Linked DNA regions of Oryza sativa Japonica Group. The protein of the gene in region 6 binds, or shares a complex with, the protein of the main gene of each other region. Links are inferred from orthologs where the notes say so. Each region holds a gene or a part of one and is shown on either strand. Other genes may lie near its edges. The genes, in order: transcription initiation factor TFIID subunit 13, transcription initiation factor TFIID subunit 15b, transcription initiation factor TFIID subunit 11, transcription initiation factor TFIID subunit 10, transcription initiation factor TFIID subunit 8 and transcription initiation factor TFIID subunit 6.

Region 1 (4,679 bases), about 5.2 Mb from region 6:
CAGTTTTCCCAACGCTAAATAAATTCGACCATGAAGAGTACTTAAATATACTGCTTGGTGCTAAAGCTGTCCACAATAGCATAATATCAGTTCCCTGTAAAATTAGTGGTATATTGTCACCGTGAATATACTCAATAATAATTAAACAAAAGCTACTAAAATTTCTTTTTGGAGGGAACAAAAGCTACTACCTCCCTCCCAAAATACAGAGAGTTTTAGGTTTGGACACAGATATTAAGAAGGTATGTAGAATTAAACGAAAGAAAGTTGTGATTGGTTGACAAGAGAAAGTTGGTGGAGAATTTGAATGGTGGAAGATTGTGATTGGTTGAGAAGAGATTGTAGGTGAAGAAGTTGTTATATTCTGGGATAAATTTTGAATGTTAGAAGTTGTTATATTTTGAGACGGATGGAGTACTAAACTCGGTGGCATAAAGTCAATTCCTTAGTACCAAAGATAACAAAAAAAAAAACAAAGTGGGAGGTAGGCAACAAGTTTTAGGAATTAAAAAAAAAGGGCATTGAGGAACATTCTAAAAATGAAGTTGCCATTGAAAAAAGATGAATTCATATCTCCACCCGTTTCTCATTAGGTCCATATCTTCCAAGAATATTACTTTGGAGTATTGAAAGAGTTAAGATATCAAGTTGCAAGTTGTCATGTCATTTAAGACCAGAGGTTTGCCACTCTTTCTCCTTGTGCACATTACCACCACAACCACTAATCTAGTTGTAGGTCCCATTGCAAATCCTTGTTCATTCATCGTCATCGGTCCTTAAGCACATCGCCATGATCTAATTTTAATGGCACTTAGATTTAGCCATCTCTTTAGCGGCGGTGGCAAGTGCTCCAACATTGACTTCTAACTTTCTATTGGAAACGTTTAGCTATTTGGTTATCATTATTGTCGAGTTGTTGACGCTCTACTCTCTATTATCAGATCTAGCCATAGGTACAATAATTTGCCTGTTCCTCGTCCTTTCCCTATATGAACCATTTTCTTCACATTTCTAAGTACTAACTCATTATCCTTTTTTAAGTGCTCTAATATTTTTGAAAGTGTTATTTCTCCTTTATCTTTAAGTGGCTCATGTCTTCTTTATCTATGCTCTCCTGTATCTCAAGTCTAATGTTGCAATCACTGACTGAAAATCACCCAGTTCTCGTAAAAATGCCGTGGGGACTGGTTTACGAAAACTAAGTGGTTTTACTCCCTCAAATATAGCAACCTTGTACCTCTGTCCAGATTCATTGTACTAAGATATGTCTCATCTAGTACAGGTTGTTATATTTTGGAACGGAGTGAGTAGCAATTTTCGTATGAAATTGATTAAAAATTGCTATTCTTATTGTTTTTTTTACCAAACCGATACAAACCGGTCTTCACTCGAAAACGGTAATGCAAAACTGGACAATATGGTGTGTTGCAAAATTTCTCAAATGGCCCGTTTGGTTGGAGAGAGTTTTCAGGAGGGATTGGGAGTTTAGAGGGATGAGGCTATTAAGTGTTTTGTTTGGTTGGGAGACATAAGAATTTTGGTGGGATGTAGATCCCTCCTTTTCAATACGGCAGGTAATTGGGAGGGAATTCCTCCTTTACTTTGTCTAAGCAAATCTCAGCCATCCATTTTTATTAATGACCTAATCTCTAACTAAACTCCTTATCAATTTTTATCATCTCTACCAAACAAGATATTAGGATTAAAAATTAAATTCTCATCTTAATCTCATCCGCAATTCCCTCGTGTAAACTCCAAATCATACCATACAAGCCGCAAGGACCGGAAAATTCTCGAATCGCCGCCGGTACGCTCACCAGCTGCTTCCTTCCCTTCGCCGCCGGTACGCTTCCGCCGCGATTGCCTCTCCCCCTTCCCGGCCTTACGCTCCGCCGCTAGTGTGAGGCTGACTCCACTCGTTTCCTTCCAGTTCGCCCCTCAGAAATCCATCACGGCTGTGCATAGTGCACGCGAAAGCCCTAAATCCAAGCGGCGGCGAGGAGCGAAGGGAAGGGGAGGGGAGCGCCGCCGGCCGTCGGGAAGAGGGGGCGGGCGGCGTCCGTCTCCCTCCCTCACCCCTCGCGTCCTTCGCTCTTCCGCCGGGATGCAGAACCCTGGCGGCCACCACGCTAGCCCGGCCTCGGCGGCCAAGTCCAAGTCCTCGACCGCTGCCGCCGCGTCGGCGTCGGGCCAGGGGAGCTCCCACCACCACCACCACCACCACTCCGGCGGCGGCGGCGGCGGCGGCGGCGGCGCCGACGCGTCCGCCACCACCCTCAAGCGCAAGCGCGGCGTCTTCCAGAAAGACCGTACGGCACTGTTTTTTCTAAACTTTAGTACTGCTGCTGTTCTTCGAATTCGTTGTTTATGCTGCATTTTTCCCCGTTCTTGCAGTGCAGCACATGATGTACGGATTTGGGGATGATCCAAATGTAAGCCCGACCTCGATCTATGCCTTTCATCTCTTAATTTTCAGGCTAGGAATTGTTTGGGGATAGGATGCAATTTGTGTACTTTGTGTTGTGGAACATTGGAGGTAATTAACACCGACAACGACAATAATTGCAAGTAGGCCATGGATTTACAACACAACTACATGATTGCCTAAGAAAGAATGGACATGCTGTTCTACCTTTTAAGTTAAAATCTTGTATGTAAATGACATCTTTCTGTTGGTTTTGCAGCCGCTTCCAGAAACTGTTGCACTTGTGGAGGACATTGTTGTAGAATATGTCACTGACCTGGTAAGCTTTCATTGTATTTGTCTTTCTTGTTTTCTACTGAAATTACATTTATGAAGGTTGTATGGATGAAAGGAGTTTATTTGGATTTCGACATCCTTATTTGTTGCCTTATTTAATTCAATTCTAGTGTTCTGGAAAGAGTGATTAGGTAGTTTTCTGGAAAGAGTGATTAGGTTCAGTGCTTCTGTTTGTCGGGAAACATGAAGCCTTTTATGTTTTGAGAATTAATAGGGGCTTCACTTTAACCTATAGTTCATATTTGTGTAGAGCCCAAGGGCTTGAAGTTTGAACACTGGTTTCGGGAAAAAAGAACTACTCCCTCTGGAAAATAAGTTGCCAGGTCTCTACTGGACAAAAGTTCGATTCCAAAATTTTGAATCAAAAAACCAGTTACCAGCTAGTTACCGGCAGTAAACCAGTTTTGTGATAAAAATATTGGATTCGAACTTTTTGCATGCTAATATGTAATAATTCAGATCCGGCATATGAAAGTAAACTAGTGTACCTGTACATGAAATTTCAAGAAAATATAAAGTTATACTTTATTCTTATGGTCTCAAATCTGAACTTTAATTTAAGTGTGAACTGTACTTTGGACTAGATTTTATTTCCTAAGTTGCACATTGGATTAGGTATTATCAAAGGTTTTCACTTTGAACCAGCTTATGGTATCAAATTTTGCACTTTGGACCATTAGTCCCACACGTCAGCCTCCATATAGTCATCTTCCTCGTCAGTCCTCTCGTCTCCTCTCCTTGTGCGCCATCATGTGCTCTCGTTGCGGCAGCTCATTTGTGCAGGCCGCTATGGTGGAGCATCTTGCCAAGCCTTTCTCAGCTAGTCCACCACAAATAAAAGCCTTAATTAACTTTTTCCATCCTCAGTTCCCTTCTCAATCATAAACCACCAGATAAGTTGAAGAGCTTCATACAGTGACAAACCTTCCAGACCTCTCCATGCTAATCACCTGACCATCCCCTGCTCTTGCACCCACTGGCCGGAACACCGTCTCAGCGCTATGGTGGAGCATCTTGAGCTCAAATCAGGGGCTAACACTAGTGGAGCTCGAGGCTGAGCAAAAGCTGGAGCTGGTGGATTACTGTGCATAGGCAGAGTGTAGCGATTGTGATGGCATTGGTAGAACTGCGGGTGGAGAAAGAGTTCTACAGACAGTTATATAAGCCCAAATTGCAACATAGAGGCAAACATACATAATCCAAAGTAAAAACATTGGCTAGAGCATATGGTTCAAATAGAAAGTTGGGTAAATATTCCTAGCCCAAGGTGCAATTCACTCCAATTTAAATTGTTCTGGCTGGTACACTCCATACCTGTTCAGCAACGGTTATAGTTATCACCAGGATTTGCATCTCTTGTGGAGCCCTTTTTGTTAATGATTCATAGAGCTTTGCCATCTTTTGGCAGTTCTTCCCTGCTTAAATTATCTGTAAACTATATTAAGAAAGGCATTTTCTTTAAAGTCTCTATATAGTCTACTTTCCTGCATGATATGGAACCTTGAGTTTGTAATCGTGCATAGTGTAAATGAAATGTACCTGTGACATGGGGTGAAGATATCTAAACATGCCCCACTTGTCTGAATATATTTTTGTAGATAATTTGTCCATGCGTGATCTGAATACGCGACGATATGAATTTATTAGGTCTGTTTACCCTGCAGACTTACTTTGCCCCAGGTTGTTGGACAAAATTTTTACATGACTACAATCTAGTATGCACTCTGTAACAGCAGAAATACACACCAAACACAAGAATTTAGTTAACTGTAATTTTTTATTTGATTTTAAATACCTGCATGTGGATAAAACCATATGTGTATGTAATGTTTATTTATGATTCCGTAACTGTTGACTGTATAATGTGCACTTTCTTAGGTCCACAAGGCCCAGAACGTTGCATCAAAGAGGGGCAAGC
Region 2 (4,656 bases), about 15 Mb from region 6:
GCCCATAATAGAAGCTGTCTTGCTTGGACATAGGCACACAGCATTCCACAATCTGCATTTAGCATCTACAGAACTGAAAAGTACTTACCCATGACCATATGCAGGAGCTCTAGGAGCTGATTTCTCAGCCATCGCAACACTAATTTTATAGCCTCTCATTTCATAATCTGGAATATCAATAGAAAACATGCATTAAAAATTGCAGAACACTGTATTTATACACACATAATATAATCTCGATGCTGAACTTACTGTTATAGAATCCACCAGCTGAATGAGCAGCAGAAGGATCTTCATAGGCAAGGCAGGCATCTCCTTTATTCTTTCCAGAGTCATCAGTATAGATCTTTATGTTCCAGGGCCACTGGTCTTTGTAGCCACGTTTCTGCTTGATCCTTCCAACCTTAAGAAAAAAGCAGTTGCAAAAACTCAAAACACAGCCATGAAACACAAGCAGTTACCACCCCCAAAACTAAAGAAATTAATTTCTTGCAATAAATTTAGCTAGGAACACTAAGTAATCTGTAAAACCAACTTTACTTTATTATCAAAGATTTTACATTAACATCATGGGGTGATATGCCACGAATTATTTGGCATAAAATACCAATATGGGAGTAAAGCAAAATTACTACAAAATCATTGAATGGCTTGGTTATAACTAAAATTACAGTACTACTACTTCTACAAAAAAAAAGAGCATCATTACTGCAAGATGATTATGTTACATCAAAACAAATATCCAAATTTAATTATGCACATTGAAACACAAGGGTGTACTTCTCCACTAGCAAGGAAAAAAACAATATGTAATAAGCTCGCTCTAACTGCGCTGTATACAACAGATGGAGCAGATTTTGTGCAAAACTATGACTTGCAATGTGCTAGCAGTAGTGAAAGCAAAAGGGGAAAAAAATGTTAACAAGCCCAACTACAGATTATAAACATCATCTGAATACTGATTTGTAAATTTACTTAAATTCCAACAAGTAATATCAGTAACACTGGAAAAAGATATTATGGCGAAACACATAAAATGAAAAACATGAGGTTAGAAAAAAGACATAAAATGCACAAAATATTTCAGTGAGCGAATCGTGAAATGCACAGTTCATAAACACTAAATATGTGGGAGCTCAAGAGGAGGTCAAAGTATACCTGGCCGATTCCTCCAAATAGTTCTTGCAGTTCCTCAACAGTCACATCAGGAGGTAAGTTGGAGATGTAAATTCTTGCATTATCACAAGTCTCATCACAGTTTGCATCACACTGCTTAACCTTTGCAGCTGGCTCTGGAGCAGCACTGCCAGTGTATCCGCCGCCACCGCCGCCGCCACCACCACCACCACCACCACCATGATAGGGTGGAGGTGCACCAGGGCCTCCACCCCCAGGCATAGGCCGACCACCATACCCACCATCATATGAAGGAGGTAGGCTACCTTGGCCACCTGGAGCACCACCGCTATATGGCGGGTTCGGAGGTGGTGCACCATAACTTGGTGGATATGAACCTGGACCACCACCATAGCTACTAGGAGGTGGCACTGCAGAATCTGAATTGTATGCATTATTGCCTCCATAGGAGCTTGGAGGTGCTGCATAGTCACCACCAGGCCCACCATAGGAAGGAGGACCTTGAGGAGGAACTTGTCCATAGCTACCAGCGTCATAACCACTTTCGTCTCCCCTTTGGTTGTTCCCTTGGTCTCTTCCCCCATAACCACCCCTGCCACCACGGTGGTCATCAAATCCACGATCATCGCCACCACCTCTATTGTAACCTCCTCCTCTTCCTCCCCCTCCAGTGCCACCACCACGGCCACCAGAGTTGTAATCTCCTCCACCTCTGTTGTAGCCACCGCCACCTCCAGAACTAAAATCGCCACCACCACGATTGTAGCCTCCACCCCCTCCACCAGATTTATTATACCCTCCACCTCCACCTCCACCTCCACCTCCAGCAGGAGAAGGTGCTCCACACTTGTTGCATTCAGTCCTCCTTGCAAAGTTCACATTGCCACAACTGGAACAAGAATGATAAACAAATATATTAGGAATATTGGAAGAGAACCAATGAAATTGCAACCGAATATTCTGCAAAATATAACCAACTCAGCAAGACAACTAATGCCATATTGAAAGAAACATATTCATAAAAGAAAGTATTTACTGTATTTTGTAGTGCTTATTTACTGTATTTTGTAATGCTTCCAATAACACCATGAACTCATTTCAAAAACATATATGAAATTTCTTCTCTGCCACTCTGCTATACCAAGGAAAATAGAACATAGGGGAGGGGAAGAAATCATGGGAGACAAGTATAACATAATATTTATGTATCTAGAGGTTCAACATAAATTTAGCACTTGTGACCTAAGATTATAGGGAGCTCTCATAGAGAATGAATTATGCAGTTAACTATTTGTTGGCAGTTCTGATGCTCACAATACTACGATGAAACAAAAATTTAGTAGGACACTTCACACATGCCCCATGCAAAATCCTAAACCAAATTATCAAATAACCCAATAATTTATAATTTAACAACCTAAAAACCCTAGATTTCATGGCCAAGTAGCATAATTTACAAGACAATCGGGACAACCACGATTTCATCAGTCACAGTCGAATCAAACGAGACAACGTCAAATGAGTAAACGAAACAAACCTCGGGTCTGGGCAAACCCAGTCACCGTCACGTCCTCCACCCCTCCCGCCGCCACCTCGGCCACCGCCACCCCCACCCCCACCTCTCCCGCCGCCGCCACCGCCGCCGTAGCCTCCTCCTCCACCGCCACCTCTACCACCGCCGCCGTACCCTCCGCCACCGCCGCCATATCCTCCGCCACCACCACCATATCCACCTCCCACACCACCACCACCATATCCTCCCCCTCCTCCTCCGCCACCTCCCCTCCCACGGCCGCCTCCGCCGCCACCTACAAAAAAAACCACAAGCCAGTCAGGAGCAGATCCAGAAGCAAGCACGCACACAACCCGCAGGATCCCGACGCGACCTCGGCCGCCGTAGCCGCCGCGGTAGTCGTCGGATCCGTACGACCCCGACATGGTCACGCGCCTAGGGTTTGGGAGCGTTCCGGAAGGGCAAGTGCGAACAGAGTATTCCGAATTTCTGATACGTGTGTGGATTAGGGCAGAAGTAAGCAGTCGAAAGAGATGGATTTGGGCCGGAATTAAACGGGAGTCGAATTCTCTCGCTGCGTGTGGGCCTGGATTGCTGGGGTGTACATGTAATGGGCTGTATATTGGGGATCACTCAAGGCCCATTGGGAATTTTCTTTGGTGGGTGTTTGGCCCAGCCCATTAATAATATTCACTAGCCTTTTGTGGACAAATGAAAGTGTCAAAATTTATTACTACCTCCATCCCAAATTAGATATCGTTTTGACTTTTTGCTTGCAATATTCGACCATTCGTCTTATTTAAAAAATAATGCAAACCTAAAAAGGATAAGTCATACTTAAGGTATTTTGATAATAAAACAAGTCACAAACAAAATAAATAATAATAACATAATCTTTTAAATAAGACGAATGGTCAAACATTACAAATAAAAAACTCAAAACGACGAATATTCTAGAATGGAGGTAGTATATTTTTGAGCGGAGGGAATAGTTAAGAGTACTGATGTTAAACCTGTGTCTTATATATCTGTTTGTTATTGTTTTTTCCTAGTTAGAGCAGGGCTAACCTTACCATCAGGGGTTGAGTTACCGCACCCAATCGTAAGCACGGTAATCACACGGTAAACCATGAAAAACTAGACGATGCTATTAGAAGTTCATATTATTATGTAAATTTATTTGAATTTGACGGGATAAGTTACTATTAGTGTATCCAAAGGTAAGTCCGGTTACCGCGGAAACCGCACAATAACAAGCGATATTGTCGATTTATGACCTGTTTGGAATGTGAAGTGAGAATTGTCTTCTACTCTTCCATAAATCAAATCTTTAGGACAGCACATATAAGTGATATACAAAAATGATTAGGCTCTTCAGACATGTAAACTTAATCGGATAATTTCTCCCTCAAGATGAAAAACAAGAACTAGAGCACATATTGCTCTTGATGGGATGGAGATGCTACGTTTTGTGAATTTTTGGGTAAGCTCGATTAGTCAGACTTCCTTTCCATCCAGTAACTTTCGCCTTAAACTCTCCTACTCCTATGTAGAAACAATCAGAAAATTCTCTTACTCCAGTGCTCTCTGTTTATCTTTCAGTCGGTTTCAGACAAAACATGGACGCACATCATGCTCCTACATGAACTGCACATTTTACAGATAAAATAAGATGTCAGTTCGTTTTCAGATTATAAAACAAGTTGTCGCTCTGCCGGCAAAATTGATTATTTTGCGCGGCATTGCGTTGGGGAACATCTCTCTGCCTACACGGAGAACCAGATATTGCAGTTGAAGTCTTGAGGACACACGCGGGCAGCACGTTCTCTGACAAATCTGCATATCATCCTTCTGAACATTCGTTATCTATGTCAGACTGACCAATCGCCAAACAGATTACAAGCATGCGATTTCTTCTCTTAAAAATGCCCATGGTGACCAATCATTACATATTGTCTTTCTTTTCATTTCGACAGGTCAATCATTGTACGTATAATATTGTCACA
Region 3 (4,670 bases), about 10 Mb from region 6:
GAAGACATGATCAAGATGTACCAGTGATGTCAAGTAACTAGATGCAGCCAGCCACTTCCAAAAATGAAACGAAGAAAAATAAGAAAGGATGAGATCCCCATAAACAATTGCCTAATTTCAGAATCATCGACAATACCAATACACACAATGCTCAAGGAACACAATGCCGGCGTAAATGCTCCCGCCGAAGCTGCAGCCTGCAGGACATAAGATCCTGCATAGCATCCGATCTTGAAATAGCAGAAAGACACTTCGTTTAAAAAATCGATTAGTTACAACGGCAAGAGTTCTACGTATAAAAATAGCAGAAAGACACATCGTTTGGGTTAAAACGAGGGTCGCATTTAATTGCAGACAAGCATATAATCAGATTCAGCGCATACTCCAAACAGCATAGTACACAGTTCAACTATTCATAAGCCTGAAAATTCACAGCCTACGGCCAATACTTTATACATAGAATTTTCCACGGCTAGTAGTACCGTAGTACTTCAGCTTGTACGTACTGTTTGCTCTGGTTCCCTTGCTGCGACAGAAATCACAGTAACAATTTCACAAAGCTGAAGAAATACATCTCATGTCATTCTCTCTTTCCGCGCATCTGACCGCAGAAAGGACCATCTCAGTGTCGACTGGGATCAACAGAGATGCTTCAATTCTAACGGAAGAGCCTGGGAACAGTCCGCCGTGGGATCTTCCCTTCAAGTTTCAATCTTCTGTAGGCTTCTCTGATGTGGCAAGGCCTTACTGGTCCAGAATCTTTCCTCTCAGTCATAACTATTCTAGCTGCAACAGACACAATCGAATTGTCAAAAATAAAGTGAATAAAGCCATCCCTCCTTTTTCTTCTGATGTCAGAGAACAAGTTTATGGAAAGCAGAAAAGGACATTTGAACACGGACGATTACAAAAGATCAGTCATAAGAGTGATTTGCTTTAAGAGATGAGCATACATCAAAATCATAGGTGCTTTGGTGGTAGTGTTCTATGAGCAACAAAGTAAATAAGATAATTACTCTAGACTTGCCTGTTTCAACAAGCTCACCAACAAACATCTTTGCAATTCCTGATACTACAATTGTTGTTGGTAGAGAAATCTTTTGACTGCCAGTAATGCTCGCCAATAGCTGCATGGAAACAGAATATCAAATCAACTTTAAAAAAACATGGGTGTAGCTATATTTATGGCGTCATATTTTTCATCAAAAAATAGTCGGCATGTATTTACATTGTAAGTCCCTAAATTACATATGTAATTTTAGTGTATTTACAATGTAAGTCTCAAAATTACATATGTAAGTAATAAAATTACATATGTAAATTCGAAATTACATACTAATTACATATGTAAATGGGGTGTAAATGAGGTGTAACTACTGTGTAAGTGGTTAAAAAAAATCGACTGTAGCATATGGCGCCATATTTCTAGCAACTCCGAAAAACATTCCAATAACGCAGTGATCTCATATTTCAACCACTGATGAGGAAATACATTAAAGCACTTGTCCCTCTGACTAGAACGTAATTTCAAAGCATTGTTAACTTCAGGCATTCAACAGCCAAAAGTAACATTTTTACCGAGAAAAAGGTCAAACTTTGGATTGACACTACAAAAAGGCTTTCTTAGCCTGCCTATAAATTGAAGAAAAGAATATTGACCAAGTTTGGTTTTTTATTTAGAGAGTGTACATCACTTACAATCAGTAGAAACGATGACATAGGCAAAAATGTATTTATCTACAACTTGGAGCGAAATCAACTGTCCTGTACATGAAGCTCTATCAACAATTTGGACAAGACATGCATGGTACATTGTACAACTCATGGTATGCATCCACAAAAGAAACATGAACCAAAATAGAACAGGTGTTATTCAACAGAAAATAAGGTAACTGTAAGACTTAAGAAAGCAGAAAATGTTAATGTGATCCACATTTTGTGGAAAGCTTTTATTGCAAAGGGGAACACTGAAGCCAATTCAGATGGAGGCGCCACACGCATCACACGCACATGATATTGCAGTTTATACTTGTACGATATTAAATCAATGGATGTTGGGAATGAGATCATACCTTTTTCATGTTAGATTTCTGGAATCCAGATCTGCGGAATGACTCATACCGGTTCATCTGGTCTTCTGTAAATTGAGACAGTATGGCACTGGAAAAGGAGTACATAGTTTTTCAAACATAGAATTCTTATTTAGATGGGTTTAATATTTCACTATATATATTGGAACATAAATCTGAGAAGTGCATAATGTCAGGATGTTCTGTAAATAAAATCACAAACAATTGAGAACAATCCCCTTTTCCAATTCAGAAATCTCCACTAGTACAAATCTTACTGTCACAAATTAACCAAAGTTGAACGGTGAAGGACACCAAAATACACTGAACTTGATCAAGAACATATTCTCAATAGACAGTCATATGGTTCCTAACTTTAACTGATCTTTATGCCAGTAAACGCTTCACATATAGCTGGAAACTGGGACTACAGTCTTTATGAAGTGAATAATGTCAGGTTGTTCTGTAACTACAATCACGAACAATCCTTACTCCAATTCAGAAATTTCCACTAGTACAAATCTTACTGTCACAAATTAACCAAAGTTAAAAGGGTGAAGGACGCTAAAACACTGAACTCGATCAAAGAACGTATATACTCAACAGACGGTCATATGGTTCCTGAATTTAGTTGATCCTTATGCAGTTAACCCTTCATATATAGCACGCACCAGAAGAAGGCAAAACTAGGTTTAGGATGAGCGCAGCCAAGCACCTACTTCATCTTGGCGAGCTTGTCGGGGTCGCTGGTGCCGGAGGGCAGCTTGTCGAGGTCGACCTCCATGTGGTCCTCCTCGTCATCCTCCTCCTCCTGCTGCTCCTTCTGGACCCGCACCACCTTACCCCTCGCCGCGGCCGCGGCGGCACCACCGGAGCCCGATGGCGCGGCCCTCGAAGGAGGCAGCCGCAGCGGAGGCCCGCGCGACCCGCTGGCGCCGTCGTATCCCTCGGGCGCCCCGGCCGCGTCCTCCTCGTTCGCCGCCGGCGACTCCGGCGGCGACTCCTGCTCCTCCACCGCCGCCTCGAACGGGTCCTTCATGGCCGCGGCTGGAGACGAATCGCAAGAGTCCAGAGTCTTCTGAAAATTTTTGGGCCGGGGTTGACCTACCTGCTCGCCGCCGCCGGGCTTGGTGGGCTGCTTCGCGCGTGGGCCTTTTTCTCGGGCCGGATTTCTGGGCCGATTTCTCCGTGGCGGCCGCGAGAATTTTCACCGGTGAATCAAATCGCTCGTGCCGAACGCGCCACCGCTGAGCAGCTCACGCCTCACGGCGCGTGCAGCAGCGGCGGAAACAAATTCTCTAACTGACATATGAATTTTGCAGTTCGTGAACCTACATATTAACGACGTACTCCCTCCGTCTTATAAAAGACCAACTTAGTACTAGATATAACACATCCTAATACCATAAATTTGAACACACTATACTAGAATATATCACATATAATCCTAGATTCCTTTTTTACGTCAGAGAACAACATCAGAGGAGCATTCTTTCAGCAACGGCAGATGTTACACGCTTATACACAGTTGAAACCGTGATGTGGCCTACCTCCGATGCGGACCTTACAATGGCCGGGCGCAAAGTAAAGAAAAAAGGAACAAAAAAAAACAGGATTACTACTACTACCATCATCAGAACAGCAACAAAAAAGTTTCATCTTTTCGTTCGAGACGTATCACATCGTGCAACAGGTTTTCGGGACCAGAAAACTCCCAAGCCGTGGGCACTGACCCACCGAGAGACCCATCCTGAGAACGATGCATCAAACGTGTGCAATAAAAAGCTTAAGCAGCTACAAAAACAACAACCCCGATCGATCACGCTGGGATTTGGGCATTCAGGAGGAGGATAGGATTTGCTTTGCCCCCCTCTCACAGCTTTTGCATTACCTCCGTATCGCGCCTTGTTTAGTGGAGGCCGTTTTGTTTATTGCCGCTAATCCTAACGCATAGGATTCTCGCTCGCTCACCATTGACCTCCTCTTTGCCCAAGCAAAGCCTCGCCATTAGATTACTTACCCAGATCACACAACAATATTCTTCGCTAGTTCTTGCAGCTCTCTCTCCCCTGAATAAAATTGACGGCACAAAGGTGCTTTCTGGCGCCGATCACTTTGCTCCACGAATATAAAAAACAACATACTATATGCACACACATATATACTATCATACTCCGTATGATACATCATACATGTGAATATAAAACGACGAGAGCCACATATATCGTCGTGTTTTTTTTTCCGCTTTGCTGGTGATGAGAGTGAATATTCGACCGGCTGTTCGTCTGAGGCTCGTCTGACCAAACTCCCGCTATCATTGCCGATTATTATTCCTCGCTTCGGTTGCGCTGATCGCTTTCAGCAACAGGGGGGGAGGGGGGGGGGGTGCGACAAACAAAAAGAGATGCCCAGCTCGTGTATATCTCTCGAAGACTCCCAAAGCTGTGTGTGTGTATATATATATATATATATATATATATATATATATATATATATATATATGGGGCACCATGGTGCCCGGGCACCATGGTATCTAATGCACAAAATCACTCAAAATTTTCAAAATTTTTAAATTGTGAGTATATACCTAGTTATAATAAT
Region 4 (4,835 bases), on a different chromosome or scaffold from region 6:
TGCCTTGGCAAACAAGGTGCTTAAGGTATCCATCACAAGGACAAACATTAGAGGTGAGATCATATCGTCTTAACGTATTCCCTGACCGTGCTAGATCATCCGCCCTAGTCACCATTGAGGAGTAAGAGTTGGTATGCAATATGCATTATCCCGTGAATCTTAGTTCAGTGATGGTATGCTACATTGCATGAGTAAAATGACGCTTTCTACTAGACATCAGTGAATGTAACTTAGTAGCTGATGGCAAACATAAATAGTGGTGTTTCTTTGACTTAAGTGAAATTGTAAAGAAAATCTTGCTACTTGACAATAAATCATATAATTGACCTTTTCTTGATAGCATATAACGGTTATGTTTCCTTGTTGCAACTTCTCTTTGTATTATATTATTTGGATGATTTTCAAATGGGATAAGTCCATTTGACAACTCCGAACTCTTCGCTTTGTCTAAAATAAACCCCCAAACTCTAAAACTGAGTATTTGACACCCTCTAACTTTTCAAACCGTCTAATTTTAGCCCCTTAGTGGAAACCAACGCAAATTTTCTTATGTGGTGCCTACATGGAAACTTAGCTATAAAAGAACATAAAAAGGTGGGACCCGTAGGCCACCTCCCCTCTTTCCTCTTACTCTTCTTCTTCCTCTTTCCTCTCCTTCTCCTCTTCGAGATGAATGACGAGGGTAGAAGGCCGTTGATGAGTTCCCGAGCTTAACAAGTAGAGTAGCGAGGCAACCTCCCTGAGCTCAATGAGGCGAGTGCCGACGACTTCCCTGAGCTTGTGTAGCAGGCCCAGCGGCATCGGCTCCTTCATTGAGCTTATCGTGGGATCGAGGTTGTGCTGCTGGCACTTGTCTTCTCTGACCTCGGCAAGTGGGTGTTGGGGGGGGGAGAGCTCTGGGTCTACGATGACAGCAACACTTGGATAGGACGAGTGGCAGCGGATCTCAGAGCTTATGATGACATCGAAGCTTGGGTAGGAGGGGCCGATTACTGCCCATCAACCCTCCTTGGAACTTGCTGGTGATCCCGTCTTCTCCGTGCTCAGCAGTTCCTCTTCTCCAAGCTCGCCGCCAACCCCCCTCTTCTCTGACCTCAGCCAAGGGGCAAGCTCCACATCGAGCTTGCTGCCAACCTTCCTTTTCTTCCGAGCACGACCAAGGGGGTGGGCTCGGCACGAAGCTCTCCGCCGACCCCTTTCTTCTCTATGCTCGCATCTAGCTCGCAGCTCCGTCCATCTCGTCATGGCTGCCTCAAGCTCATAGAGGGAGGGAGTCGAAAGAGAGGGGAAGGTGAAAGAAGACTGTAGGACCTGCTGACGTGGTGTAAACCGCTCAGGGGGTATAAAGTGAATGGTATTAAAAGTTAGAGGGTGTGAAATATCCGGCTTTAGAGTATTGGGTGTATCTCTACTATTATAAAAACTGAAGATGTTTTTGCTAGAATTTTGGTTTGTCATCCATATTTGAGTCGGTTTTTAAGTTCGTTCACTTTTGAAAATACAGAACCGTGTTTGAGTTAGATTTTAAGCTTATTTCCTATTGGAAGTAAGTCGTATAAGAAATCTTTTAAAAAAACTCACATGCTAACTTCAAATTAAATACGGTCTCCTAATTGCAGCTCATGATTTTCTGAAAAAATATCCAATCAAATTTTCACAGTGAATTTTACCGTAGCTAAACCGTATAACAACAATAAAATTAAAATAGCATTTACCCGTTCCAATGCATAGACTTTTTTTTTCTAGTTTTAGACAAAAACGAAGACTTCATAGGTGTAAAATAGACTTATCCCTTTTTTTTCCAAACGGGCCTGAACTCCGCCCATCCTACGCTTATTACCAAAAGGGCCGGAGTACAGCCCACCACTCCCCTCCCTCTTCCCCCCTCCTTCTCGAGCCTCCGGCGACGACGACGACTCCCGCCGCTCTTCCTGGTCCATCGGCGGCGAACTTCCCCGCCGACGTGCCAGATCTCAAACCCCACTAGCTCCTCCGGCGAAGGCGGGGGACCAGAGGATGATGGGGAGCAACAGCGCAGGCGGAGGCGGCGGTGGCGCCATGGTTCCGGGGGGCATGGGGGGAGGAGGGCCCATGGGGGCAGCCGCCGCCGGCGGCGGCGGCGGCGGAGACGGGCGGCACGACGACGAGGCGGTCCTCACCGAGTTCCTCTCCTCCCTCATGGACTACACCCCTACGGTACGGCGCCTGCCGCCCATCTTGCCCTAGCTTCCCCCTCTCTTGGGTTTCGTGTCTGATGCGGTGGTGGTGGTGGTGGTGGTGGTGGTGCGGCAGATTCCCGACGAGCTGGTGGAGCACTACCTTGGCCGCAGCGGCTTCTACTGCCCCGACCTCCGCCTGTAAGCACCCCCATCTATCTCTCCAATAGTTCAATCTCTTCTCTCTTTCAGGAAGACTGCACCGTGCCTTCCAGGATGGGCCAATTGGTAGTTATTAAACTGAAATTCGTCCAGTGCCCGGAAATCACTGAAGAGATTTGGACTGAATTTTGCCTGATTCTTAGTACGTACAACATGGTGACAGTTAGATCTGATTGAGGCTGTTAGGATTGCATTGTAATGCAGCGTGTTGCCATTCTAGTCGAGGGAGAAAATCGCTGTATCCCTTTCAGCTTGGTGATTGTTGGTCGTCATGTGTGACAGCATGGCCTTATGAACCATAATTTTTGTGTTCTCTGCAGAACGAGGCTGGTTGCTGTAGCCACCCAAAAGTTCATTTCGGACATTGCAAGCGACTCTCTTCAGTATGTAACTTTTACTGCCTCATTCGTTTTGTTTTCCAACTTAAACGTATGTGCGATTATTTTGTTCCTTTTTAGTGGTTATCGATTCTTGGAGTCGAATTTTCGTTACCTTCAGATAGTGAATGAGAAATATGATTTCTGATGATGGTCATGAACCATGAGGTTTCTTGCATCATTCATAAATGGAGGTGTATGCAATATGCTTCATTCTTGAGATGTTGAGTAGCCTCATTTCTCCTATGCTGGCAGCTTTTTGAGATAACCATGTTGATTTTAGGCTTGTTTTCTTCATACTGTCAACTTGCATCTTCTTTGTGCTTCCTTTTTTTTGTTTCTATCATCCTTCTCACATTATGACCATGGAATGAAACATCAAACATGGTATCTTATGTCTATATTGTTAAGACAATAGATTGCGAAATATGCATAACATTGATGTGGTAGGGAATCTAATTTCAGTACTGACTGAAACTTTATGTGTAAAGTCAAGCTTCTTATGGTGTTGCTTGTATCATAACTTGTGACAGTTAAAAGGTATCATGCACACTAATTTGTTCATCACATGATTATTGTCCTGAACTAGGCACTGCAAAGCCAGGGTAGCAGCACCTATCAAAGATAACAAGAGCAAGCAACCTAAGGTGGGTTTAATTGCAGTTGGTGTACCATGGTACTACTAGCATGAAATCAGTACTTTTATTTACTGGTTCAGTCATTCTGTTCTTCAGGATAGGCGTCTTGTGTTAACAATGGATGATCTTTCCAAGGCCTTGCAAGAGGTAAACCATTTTCCTGTTGAATTTAAGCTTTCCCTTTTACTGCAGCTCACCAGTTACCACTGTACTTTACGTGATTGAAGTCACAGTTTATTCAGTTTGACGTATAATTGCAATTATTAGTTTTATTAGGACTTGAATCTCTGCATTAATAAATCTACTGTAGAATGGATTTAGTTAACCTTTTTTAGACCAATGGGATTACTTGTTAATGTTTTTTTTAATGAAACAAGTAGCCAAATTGATCAGTTGTATATGCTTCACGATGCTCACGATTAATCACAATTCAGATAGACTAATCAACTCAACAATCAGTCACAGCCTACTTGTATTGGAATATTTTACCAGAAGAACAAATGGGAAACTATTTTGATCCCTTGAGGGGATGTGCCGCTTAAAAATCATCTAAACGGTTATGAAAAATTCTAGAAAAATTTGACAACACTTATACAACATATCTATACAACTTCACAAAATCTTAAGTCCAAATTCAACTCACACATCGAGATATAAAAAAAGACAAATTCAGCGTATAAATAGTACCGCACTGTTAATATCTGAATTTGTCTTTTTGGGTTCTCGATGTGTAGGTCGAATTTGAACTTTATTTTTGGTGGACTATTAGATATAATTGTACTCTACATTGTCAATATTTTTCAGAATTTTTAACAACTATATTTGCATTGATTTTGAAAGAAAAATATATACGAGGGGACATCCCCTCGAGGGATTAGAATCCACTCCCCAGAACACATACATTATAGTACATGAAATAAGCATTTAAGCAGACCTGGGATGAGCTGCTCATATACAGGGATGAGCTGCTCATATACAGGTCTATTTGACAAATGATCTTCTATGCTTTCCCTTCCCAGCAATATTCTTGGCAAATGACTGATTCAGCTATAATCACATCATGGTCAGTACACTTATGTTTACAATTCCATGGTTCAGAATCAATCTACCTTCTACACACGAAACCTCACACAAAAGGGCATCCTTGACATGTCACAATATCACATAACTCTGGACTGTAATGCTCTACAGATGAGCTATCATTATAGAAGCTTTGTGCTTTCATGAAATATGTTTGTTCCACATACTACCAATTTGAGATTTATTTTTGTTTTCTAACATGCTGGCAGCTATCAGTAGATCATCACGTCATTTGATAGAATTAGATTACCATTGTCCAGCGTTTAGTATTGTAACTCCTAATTATCCTAATTAGGCATTTATGTTTGATGCATTTTGAGAAACTGGCACTTTTTACTCCCGTGTCAAATGCCAATATAGAT
Region 5 (4,685 bases), on a different chromosome or scaffold from region 6:
CACATAACAAACAAATCAAGGGTAGATTAAAAGTTAGATTTTTTTTTTCTCTATATAAGTTCAACAATATTTTCTCTATAGTTTTAAAGAACATTGAAGGGTTTTGGTGCACACAAACACCTACATAATTGCTTGGCTTGGTAGTGCAAAATGTAACATTGTTTGAAGCTAATTTCTTTCTTCTTTTGCATGTTCGATTGTTTTCTTTGAAACAATATTTGTTTGAAATAAGACCATAATTATATAGATTTAAGTAGTATGTATAGTTTACTTATAAATTTTGAAGTTTTTTAAGTAAAGTTTATTTCTATTATATAATACGGTTAACAATATAGTTTTGTCATGTAAATTATAATCAATAAGTTCGCTATAATTTATATCACAAAAATTAATGAAACTTTGTAAAACCAACCATGACTACTTAACAAAAGAAATGGACAAATATTTTCATTAATAAAATAATCTAAAATAATGGGTACATAATATAATATAATGGTGTAAACTTTATTTTCAAGTATTGTAGAGCTAATTCATTTATGTATACTTGTAAAAGAGTTATATGCTGATATATTATTCTATGTTTGTAAAGTAACTTTTATTTAAAATTTATTATCACTAATAATAGTAATAATAATTGTCTCAACTATATACATTGAAAAGAAAAAAAGTTACGTACTAACGTACGTACATATATATACCATGGAAGGAGAGGTGGAACAGTATAGTCACTTTTCGTGTTTGGATTTATTTAAAGATCCACTGATTTAAGTGAAAATCAAGGGATAGATGTTTTGCTTTTTTTTTCTCAGATTTTCTACGATTTTCTTTACTTCCTCCGTTTCACAATGTAAGACTTTCTAGCATTGCCCACATTCATATAGATGTTAATAAATCTATACACATATGTGGCTAGATTCATTAACATCTATATGAATATGAGTAATGCTAGAAAGTCTTACATTGTGAAACGGAGGAAGTAGTTTATTAGAGCACCATATGGCGGCTTGAGAGCGTTTTGAGGAAGTTTAATGACCTTTTAGTATATAATAGATAGATAGATTGCATGTGCGTATCAGCAATCCTTCTAATTTAGGATATTAGTGCGGTGGTGGTAGCCTACAAGGAATCCAGTTAATCAGAACTAGCAGTGGAAGGTAGATTCGCAATTTTTGAACTGTATACAGTGGATGCTATTTTTCTAACCAAAGCTTTAAGGAAAAGCATAACAGAATGTGACTACCACATATATTCAACACATAAACCATCCATGTAGCATTCTCTGTTATCTCGTGATGTGATAACTTTGTACTTTTAAATACAAAATGTGCATATTACAAAAAAAAGGATATTCTTGTGTAGTTATGTGGTTTTCAGTTATACACTCAAATTAATAGAGATGCACGTAATGGCTATGAAGTAAATCTGCCAGGAACAGTTAAGTGAAAAAACAAACAAACCTCAAGATCTTGGCAAATGCTGCTCCAACATGAATTTGAAAAGTCCCTAGTTTAGCCAGTCCAAAATTCACCATGCAGCTCTGTGGGTACTGCAAACATACAGGAACGTTAAAGCTGAGTAAGTTCATGTGGATTATCCATTGCTTCCCTTAGTATCAACTCTGCCCTCTGCTCCTTATCCTCCTTGAAGAACCAGGGATCCTTCAGTTCAACCAGAGCTCTCGAATTCAGTGCCATCACCATTGACTTCTTATCAATCCCAATTCTAAAATACACCGGTGGCCTCTCTTTTGGAACAACCCTCTTCTGAGTCTGACTATCATTTTGGCCCTGATCCATACCCTCATCAAATTCTCCACCTTTTGATTCTTCAAATGCGGGTGCGAAGGCCTCAACAACAGAGAATGTCTTCCCCACACCAGGCATGGTAACCTCGGACACCGCCTTCTCCCCATAAGGCAAAGCTCGCTCATGAAACGGATTCGCCTTGCTCTCAACCACATCTAGTCCGTTCGCTTTGACTGCATCATCGACCAGCATTCCTGGTCGGAACCCGTCGGCACCTGCAAGAGCAAGACGCCGTTGCAGGCTGAGCAGCGACTTCTCAGCTTTCCTCCGCTGCCGCGCCCGCTCCACCTCATCCGCCCCAGCCTTAGCCACCTCCTCACTCCACAACTCGCTCCTCACATACGTGTGAGGTTCCGGAAAGGCCGGGAGCCATTCCGGGACATGGCTCATCCCGCTCTCCCTACCCAAGACCGCAAAGCTCGTCGTCGAGTGCAGCGGCACACGCTGTACCGGAAACCTCGGCAATGGCCGGCCCGCGAACGGGGATTCCTTGGACGCGCCAACAAACACGGCCATATCCTTGACGACGGCGGAGTTGGCGAGGCAACGGGCAGAAACCGAGGCGGCCCCCGCGAAGCCATAGTAGGCCGCGCCGCACTCCTCGAGGAACTGTATGACGTCGCACTCGTTTGCGGCGGCGCGGCCGGCGAGGTTGGCGTGGAACGTGGCGGCACGGCCGAGCTGGCAGATGTACCGCAGGAGGACGTCGACGAGCGCGTCCACCGCCGAGCGGTGCGCGCAGACGAAGCCAGCCGCCTCCAGCATCCGCGCCACCGCCGCCCTCGCCACCGCCCTCCCGAAGTCCCCTCCTCCACCCGCTGCTGCCGCCGCTGCTCCTCCCCCTCCTCCTCCTCCTCCTCCTCCTGCTCCTCCGCCACCACCGCCGCCTACCCTGCCGGCCCGGCCACCACCCCCGCCGCCTCTGCTGCTCATGCTCGCCTTCGCGCTCGGCCGCGCCCCAATCATACCGGCGGCACCTCTATCCCACCGCCGCGAACCCAGGCCGCGCCGCCATCGAGGGGGGGAGTGGCAGCGCCAAAATTGCGGGGGAATTCGAGCACCGGTGGTCGAAATCGGGATGGAAATCTAGGGTTTAGGGGTTGACCGTTGGGGAATCGGGCACGCGGAGGCGGCGGAGCTCGGAATTCGGAGAGAAATCCAAACCCCAAGCTGGCGAAATGGGGAGAGGGAGACGACTTGAGTTGACTACACTAGCGAGAGAGCGAGGAGGACACAAGCAGCAGCGGAGAGAGAGAGAGAGGCGTGTCGGCTGAATGCGGAATGCCTCAACACAGGAAGATTTCGGCCATCTTCCGACGGCGGGGAATGAACGGCCAGGATTTTCCATTCTCGATTCAGGAGCTTTGTCACTCGATGGGTGGATTATCGGGTGCTTCTATGGTCTATACAAAACAAAGTCAACATGGAAGGCATCCACAATGGTTATTTATAGGCTCTCTACAAGAGATCCATGTCAGCATATTTTTCTACTTGGAAGGTATTAAATGAAGAGAGAGAGCAAAGCTATCTACTAACTTATAGATAGTCTATAGAGAAAAACGAGGCAATGCATGAGAGAGCTATAGATACCAATGTAGACATACTATTGAAGTGGTTTACTATTAATCGAGTCTATTGCTGAGATGTACATGTTTTATAGAGAGCACCTTAGAGCACCCGAACCATTCGTCTATTGCTGAGATGTACATGTTTTATAGAGAGCACCTTAGAGCACCTGAACCATTGCGGATGGTTCGGGTGCTCTAAGGTGCTCTCTATAAAACATGTACATCTCAGCAATAGACTCGATTAATAGTAAACCACCTCAATAGTATGTCTACATTGGTATCTATAGCTCTCTCATGCATTGCCTCGTTTTTCTCTATAGACTATCTATAAGTTAGTAGATAGCTTTGCTCTCTCTCTTCATTTAATACCTTCCAAGTAGGAAAATATGCTGACATAGATCTCTTGTAGAGAGCCTATAGATAACCATTGTGGGTGCCCTAAGGGCAGCCCCAACCCTCCATCTAGGATGGTGTCTATAGCATTAACTACATTGCCATGTAGGACTTTTAGCTTATATGGCACTATATTAATTCAGAGAGTAAGTGAAGAGAGGAAGAAACTGGGTCTCATGCAAGACACAGCCTCAACACGAGAACCTATGCACTAGACACTATCAAATTTTGTATTGGGAGAGAATAGTATCTTCATAATAGATGAAGAATAAATATGATTGGTAGAGAAGAGAGATGATGTATTTATTAGTGGCCTAGTTTAAGAAACCATGGGTTGTAGAGTGTAGTTTCTATTGTGATGTCTTATTGACATGATATCATAGACACTGCTTATGGACACTATGGGTTGGGACTGCCCTAATAGGGTAGGCGGACACTCAAAGGTTAAATTGGTTTTATTTAGAGAAGAGTAAAGTGTGTTGGCGGTCCTTAAACTTGTAGGGTTGTGTCGTATATGTCTCTAAACTCTCAAAATGGATATCCAGGTCTCAGAACTTGTCAAAGTGTATCATCTTGGCCCCAAATTGATACATCCCCTCTAGGATCCTACGTGGCGCTGATGTGGCAATGCCACATGGACGTGACGTGTCCTTTTCTTTTTTTTCTTTTTTTCCTTTTCTTTTCCGTTTTCTTCTCATTCTTCTTTTTTTTCCTTTCTTCAGAGAAAGGAGAAGAAATGGGAAAAAGGAGAAGAAAAAAGGAAAAAAGGAAAAAAATTAAATGGGTCCTATTTGTCAGTCAAAATAATGTCACGTCATGTCCGTGTGGCATGCCACATCAGCGCTACGTAAGATCCTGTAGGGGTTGTGGCGATTTGGGACCTAGATGACACACTATGACAAGTTCTAGGATTTGGATA
Region 6 (4,528 bases):
GAGATCCTTGTGTCCCACAGCTCTCTTAAACCGCAAGGGGTCACCGGAAGCAAATCCATATACAGGCTGTGTGAAAATTCAAAGCAATTAAATAAATGCACTGAAACAATACTTTTTAATGCCAACTTCACCATAACATAGAACCACCATAAAAACTAATGTCAACAAATTTCCTACCAGCGGTGCTGCATATGCATCAGTTTTTGTGGTAATAGATTATGATCCAATACAATGCTATTATTTTTAGCTTGTGTCTTAGACACTGAAGGCAATCATGTCCCACCTAAACTCCACTACAGTAACATTTTAACCAAAATAACGAAAATATGTAGCAAAAGTAACATCAAAGAAACCAACCTAGCACGCTAAACCAACCCAGTGATAATATTGAGAGTGCCAAAAAGGACATTATGTTACTCAAAAAAGGAGGAAACGCCTATATATGGAGTCATACAAAACATATAAACACATTGGCAATGTTTAATATATACTTCTCAGTTCTTAATCTGAAATTAAAAGAAAAACAGTTTCACATTTTCCCAGTTCTAACATTGAGCGTGGCAAAGGGGCATTATGTTACTTGTAAGCAAAGTAGGAAACTTTTACATACGAAGTCATATACAACAGCATATAAACACATTGGCAATGTTTAATACATAGTTCTCAGTCCTTGATTTGAAACAAAAAACATAATCATCAAATTCTAACATAAAGTGCATTTAGCTTAGCACACCCCATTTGACATGAATACATATCTCATATTTTATTTTGTATTTTCACATGGATTATTTCCCCCATCTTACCCAGCGTACACTATTGGGCTTCATCCTACTTATTCAGCTTTCTCTCATTCAGTTCCACGCAAAGTAAAATCAGCATCCTACTGGACTGCAGTAACCTCACAACTAGTGGGTGTCAGAGAAATAGGGGGCTGAATGGAAGGATATGGTTTCTCCCCTATGCTCAGTTCAGCTGTTCCCTTGAGGAATTACATGTCAAGCTTTAAAGACATTATTTGTTTTCTCGAACACACAGGAGAGCTGTGTTCTCAAATGGAACAGAAGGATTGTATATTTGTATTAAAGAAGAAGAGAGGGGAAGAAACCACCGAATACACCCAGACACCAAAAGCCTCTACCAATTGCAGTATCAGTTTTCAAACAAGAGATGATTGCAATGGCATTTATATGTCAGGGAACAGACATACCAAAAACAGATACAGGCATAGAGTTTGCCTTATTTATGGCTAACATGTCTCCATGAAAAGATCGTCAACTCTAAGTTTCTTAAACATTTATACTTTTAGCTTAATAATGAGCTGATTCCGAGAAATACTGAGCTCGACTATTTAGCTATCCAACTCAGAAGTTTGATGCATTCAAGCATACAACAGTTACTAGATCTACAAAACCTTTATTTAGTAGTCCTAAAAAATATTGTCAACGAAATAGAAACTACCTCAACATTCCTGAGGCTGAGAGCACTATCAACATCATCGGCAGTCAGGACTGTCCTCTTTGCATGCCGCATACACTTGATGGCCTCCTGTCACAATCCACAGCATAATAAAATACATATAGTGCCTAGGAGAAAATGGAATGGCATTTCTGTGACTGAATATTTATATGCTTACATACAAATTTTGCAGATCAACATATACTTCCAGAAAATTATCGCAAAACAACAGATGTAACACCAAATTTATAACTTAAGCAACGAGATTATAGATCTACAGATAAAGCACGGACTTTATGAGAAAACTACAATTTATGAAAAGTTCATCACGATAGATGAAACCTGTAAAATTTGTAGTTTCATGATAAAATCGGTGCTAAATCGATAATTGTGTGATATGGCTCAAATATGTATTTTTCTGGTAATGCAGTGTTAAATTTGTATTTTTTGTGACAACTCTGTAGTTTGTCAATGATAGTTTTCCAAAATTTATGAGTAAAGATCAGATAGGAATAACATATTTCCAAGATTCAGTAAAGAAAACCTCAAATGATGAATTTATCGTGTAAATAGTGGATAGAACGCAAATTCTTAGACTCACTACCTCACTAAATATATACAAATTAAAAAAAATGGTGATAAAACAGGAACAAAACCCCAACATATGTTACCAGTAAGCTATAGCATGCAATCGAATGAGAGAAGATTGAACAGTCCAGAAACTCTGTAATGGTGTGCTTCAATGCTTTTGAAGAGACAATAGTGAACAAAAAAAACAACCATCTTCCGTCCAATATATTGCATTGCTATGAAGACCGTCCAATATATTGCATTGCTATGAAGACCGTCCAATATATTGCATTGCTACAAAAACCCAGTGAACATATATTGAGCAGGACACAGTTAAGCAGTCAGTGTGAACCAGCATGTTCAAACAACAAGATGGAAACGCATCTCGTCCAGCAAACTCAAAACCCATTGGAATAGGTCTATCGCAAATATTCCACCACACAACTTAGCACAATGGTTGAGCATAGCAATCAATTGAGAGAACGAAGAACAAAGAGCAAGCAATTGCTCCCTGCGGTCCCAAATCACCCAGAAACTACAAATCCACGCCTCGGGGGGGCAGGCAATTTTCCTACGAAGGGAATGGTGGAAGTTGCCTCCTAGTCCCCCAAAGTGCACGAAACTAAAACCGAAGGGAAGCGAGAGATTCGGGAGCGCGGGGGGGACGGACCTGCATGATCTCGCGGAGGCGGTACTCCACGTCGGGGGCGAGCGCGGCGGAGACATCGGCGGGGAGGTTGGCGATGCCGACGCTCTGCCCGATCACCTCAATCGTCTCTTTGGGCACTATGCTCATCCCTCCCCCGCTCTTTCTCCCCCCCCCCCCCCCCCCCCTCTTCTCCCTTCGCCTCCCCTCGCTCCTCGCTCGCCAAATTACCCAAACCCTAGCTCTCTGGCCGTACTGCTCCCTTCTAGCCTCCGCCTATCCGCCACTGCTGCAGTGCCCTCTTCGCTGGTTCGCTAGCATCTAAGCGCTCGCCGCTGCCTCCTCGCCAGCGTTTCTCGCCGCCGCCGCCGCCGCTGGCATGCACGCCGGAGCCGACGAGAAGAGGATTTGACCGAGTGTGGCTGGGAAACGTTTGTGAATCAAGAATTTCTCGTAAAATAGAAAACTACTTCGTAGGATATATTCCTAGCTTAGGGAGCAATTGGTTATATACTTCTCTCTAGGGTGTTTACTTGCGAAATTCTTATCTGCCGCACACGCGTCAGTATGGTCGCGCATCAGCCCACCAGCCCACGTGCTGTTTTCACATTTTCCCGTGATTTTCGGCCCACCAGCCTACTTGTTGTTTCCTTTTTTCGCCATGATTTTCGGCCCACAAATCCACGTGCTATGTTTCCTTATTTTCGACTCCACTCGTTTCCTTATCGTTTTTTTATTTTTCGAAACATTCAACTTAAATTTTGAAACGTTCAACTCAAAATTGATTCAAATTTGAAAACTTTCGAATCAAGTTTCGAAAATTTTTAACTCCAATTTCAAAACTTTTAACTCAAAAATCAAAACTTTGACTCAAATTTTGAAAACTTTCAATTCAAATTTCAAAAACTTTCAACTCACAATTAAAAATTTTCATCGCAAAAATGTAAAACTTTTAACTCAAAATTCTAAATTTTCATTTCTAACTGAAAACTTAATGAAAACTTCCATATCAAAATTTAAAAAAAATTAACTCAAATTTAAAATTATTTATGTATTTTGAAAAATGCTAATTATGATAATTAACAGTAATTACTGTAATTATCACTAATGACTATAATTAGCGGCGGGCGTCTTGCACTAATCGCGCGCAGGGTGTGGGAGAGGGGGGCGTTGCCCGAGTTAAGCAGTCGGCGTGTGCGCGGCCATTAGAGCAAGGTCAATAGTGCAGCTAGTAGTAGGCTCTAAAATTTTATCATGTCTCAAGTAGAGCTAACTTAAAAAGCATCTCATACAACAAGCTAACTACAAGTTAGCTATAAACTACCTTGGTTCAAACGAATTAACAAGCAGTAGAACCCACAAACAAATTTTTTTATTGTATCTCCTGGCCGATACAGCGTGGAGCGCTGTACAAGCGCCGGCGCCAGAACAAGCGACGGCTTCTTTCTCAATCACTGATTTTCTTTCCTTAATCTCGTTTTAGACTGATTAACAAGTTTTGGAGCGTTCCTAATAGCACTATTGTACCCGCTCTTAGAAACCAAGTTTTCTTGCTAAAACGAAAAAGGTTACTATATTTGATCACTTAGAGCACCCGCAATGTTAATGTAAAGTGCTATCTATAAAACATGTACATCTCAGCAATAGACTAAATTAATAGTAAATCACTTCAATGGTATGTCTACATGGATATCTATAGCTCTCTAATCTATTGTCTCGTTTTTCTCTATAGACTATCTCCAGATTAGTAGATAGCTATACTCTCTCTCTCTTCATTTAATCTCTTCCAAGTAGGAAAATATGCTGACATGGATCTCTTGTAGAGAGCCTATAGATAACCATTGCGGGTGCCCTTAT

What was found.
Region 1: transcription initiation factor TFIID subunit 6 (region 6) and transcription initiation factor TFIID subunit 13 share a complex: the UniProt entries of both Arabidopsis thaliana proteins name them as parts of the TFIID complex. The link is inferred for Oryza sativa Japonica Group from reciprocal best matches to the Arabidopsis thaliana genes TAFII59 and TAF13.
Region 2: transcription initiation factor TFIID subunit 6 (region 6) and transcription initiation factor TFIID subunit 15b share a complex: the UniProt entries of both Arabidopsis thaliana proteins name them as parts of the TFIID complex. The link is inferred for Oryza sativa Japonica Group from reciprocal best matches to the Arabidopsis thaliana genes TAFII59 and TAF15b.
Region 3: transcription initiation factor TFIID subunit 6 (region 6) and transcription initiation factor TFIID subunit 11 share a complex: the UniProt entries of both Arabidopsis thaliana proteins name them as parts of the TFIID complex. The link is inferred for Oryza sativa Japonica Group from reciprocal best matches to the Arabidopsis thaliana genes TAFII59 and TAF11.
Region 4: transcription initiation factor TFIID subunit 6 (region 6) and transcription initiation factor TFIID subunit 10 share a complex: the UniProt entries of both Arabidopsis thaliana proteins name them as parts of the TFIID complex. The link is inferred for Oryza sativa Japonica Group from reciprocal best matches to the Arabidopsis thaliana genes TAFII59 and TAFII15.
Region 5: transcription initiation factor TFIID subunit 6 (region 6) and transcription initiation factor TFIID subunit 8 share a complex: the UniProt entries of both Arabidopsis thaliana proteins name them as parts of the TFIID complex. The link is inferred for Oryza sativa Japonica Group from reciprocal best matches to the Arabidopsis thaliana genes TAFII59 and TAF8.

What each region holds. Positions count from the first base shown.
Region 1 is NC_089035.1:13,333,155-13,337,833, forward strand, and holds the start of transcription initiation factor TFIID subunit 13, read left to right. Parts: upstream 1-1,800; 5' UTR 1,801-1,843; intron 1,844-1,930; 5' UTR 1,931-2,104; coding exon 2,105-2,309; intron 2,310-2,394; coding exon 2,395-2,432; intron 2,433-2,684; coding exon 2,685-2,744; intron 2,745-4,639; coding exon 4,640-4,679. UniProt on the Arabidopsis thaliana protein: TAFs are components of the transcription factor IID (TFIID) complex that is essential for mediating regulation of RNA polymerase transcription. May be involved in polycomb repressive complex 2 (PRC2) mediated repression.
Region 2 is NC_089035.1:3,329,916-3,334,571, reverse strand, and holds the start of transcription initiation factor TFIID subunit 15b, read right to left. Parts: upstream 3,134-4,656; 5' UTR 3,076-3,133; coding exon 3,024-3,075; intron 2,946-3,023; coding exon 2,675-2,945; intron 2,027-2,674; coding exon 1,159-2,026; intron 404-1,158; coding exon 253-403; intron 168-252; coding exon 89-167; intron 1-88. UniProt on the Arabidopsis thaliana protein: TAFs are components of the transcription factor IID (TFIID) complex that is essential for mediating regulation of RNA polymerase transcription.
Region 3 is NC_089035.1:28,595,566-28,600,235, reverse strand, and holds transcription initiation factor TFIID subunit 11, read right to left. Parts: upstream 3,150-4,670; 5' UTR 3,109-3,149; coding exon 2,789-3,108; intron 2,161-2,788; coding exon 2,073-2,160; intron 1,128-2,072; coding exon 1,028-1,127; intron 787-1,027; coding exon 659-786; 3' UTR 321-658; downstream 1-320. UniProt on the Arabidopsis thaliana protein: TAFs are components of the transcription factor IID (TFIID) complex that is essential for mediating regulation of RNA polymerase transcription.
Region 4 is NC_089043.1:20,160,631-20,165,465, reverse strand, and holds the start of transcription initiation factor TFIID subunit 10, read left to right. Parts: upstream 1-1,865; 5' UTR 1,866-2,016; coding exon 2,017-2,196; intron 2,197-2,292; coding exon 2,293-2,357; intron 2,358-2,698; coding exon 2,699-2,761; intron 2,762-3,344; coding exon 3,345-3,402; intron 3,403-3,489; coding exon 3,490-3,540; intron 3,541-4,835. UniProt on the Arabidopsis thaliana protein: TAFs are components of the transcription factor IID (TFIID) complex that is essential for mediating regulation of RNA polymerase transcription.
Region 5 is NC_089037.1:23,460,252-23,464,936, forward strand, and holds the start of transcription initiation factor TFIID subunit 8, read right to left. Parts: upstream 3,071-4,685; 5' UTR 2,772-3,070; coding exon 1,566-2,771; 3' UTR 1,458-1,565; intron 1-1,457. UniProt on the Arabidopsis thaliana protein: TAFs are components of the transcription factor IID (TFIID) complex that is essential for mediating regulation of RNA polymerase transcription.
Region 6 is NC_089035.1:18,531,633-18,536,160, forward strand, and holds the start of transcription initiation factor TFIID subunit 6, read right to left. Parts: upstream 3,125-4,528; 5' UTR 2,822-3,124; coding exon 2,696-2,821; intron 1,546-2,695; coding exon 1,459-1,545; intron 67-1,458; coding exon 1-66. UniProt on the Arabidopsis thaliana protein: TAFs are components of the transcription factor IID (TFIID) complex that is essential for mediating regulation of RNA polymerase transcription. Required for proper pollen function. May stabilize the interaction of TFIID with selected promoters.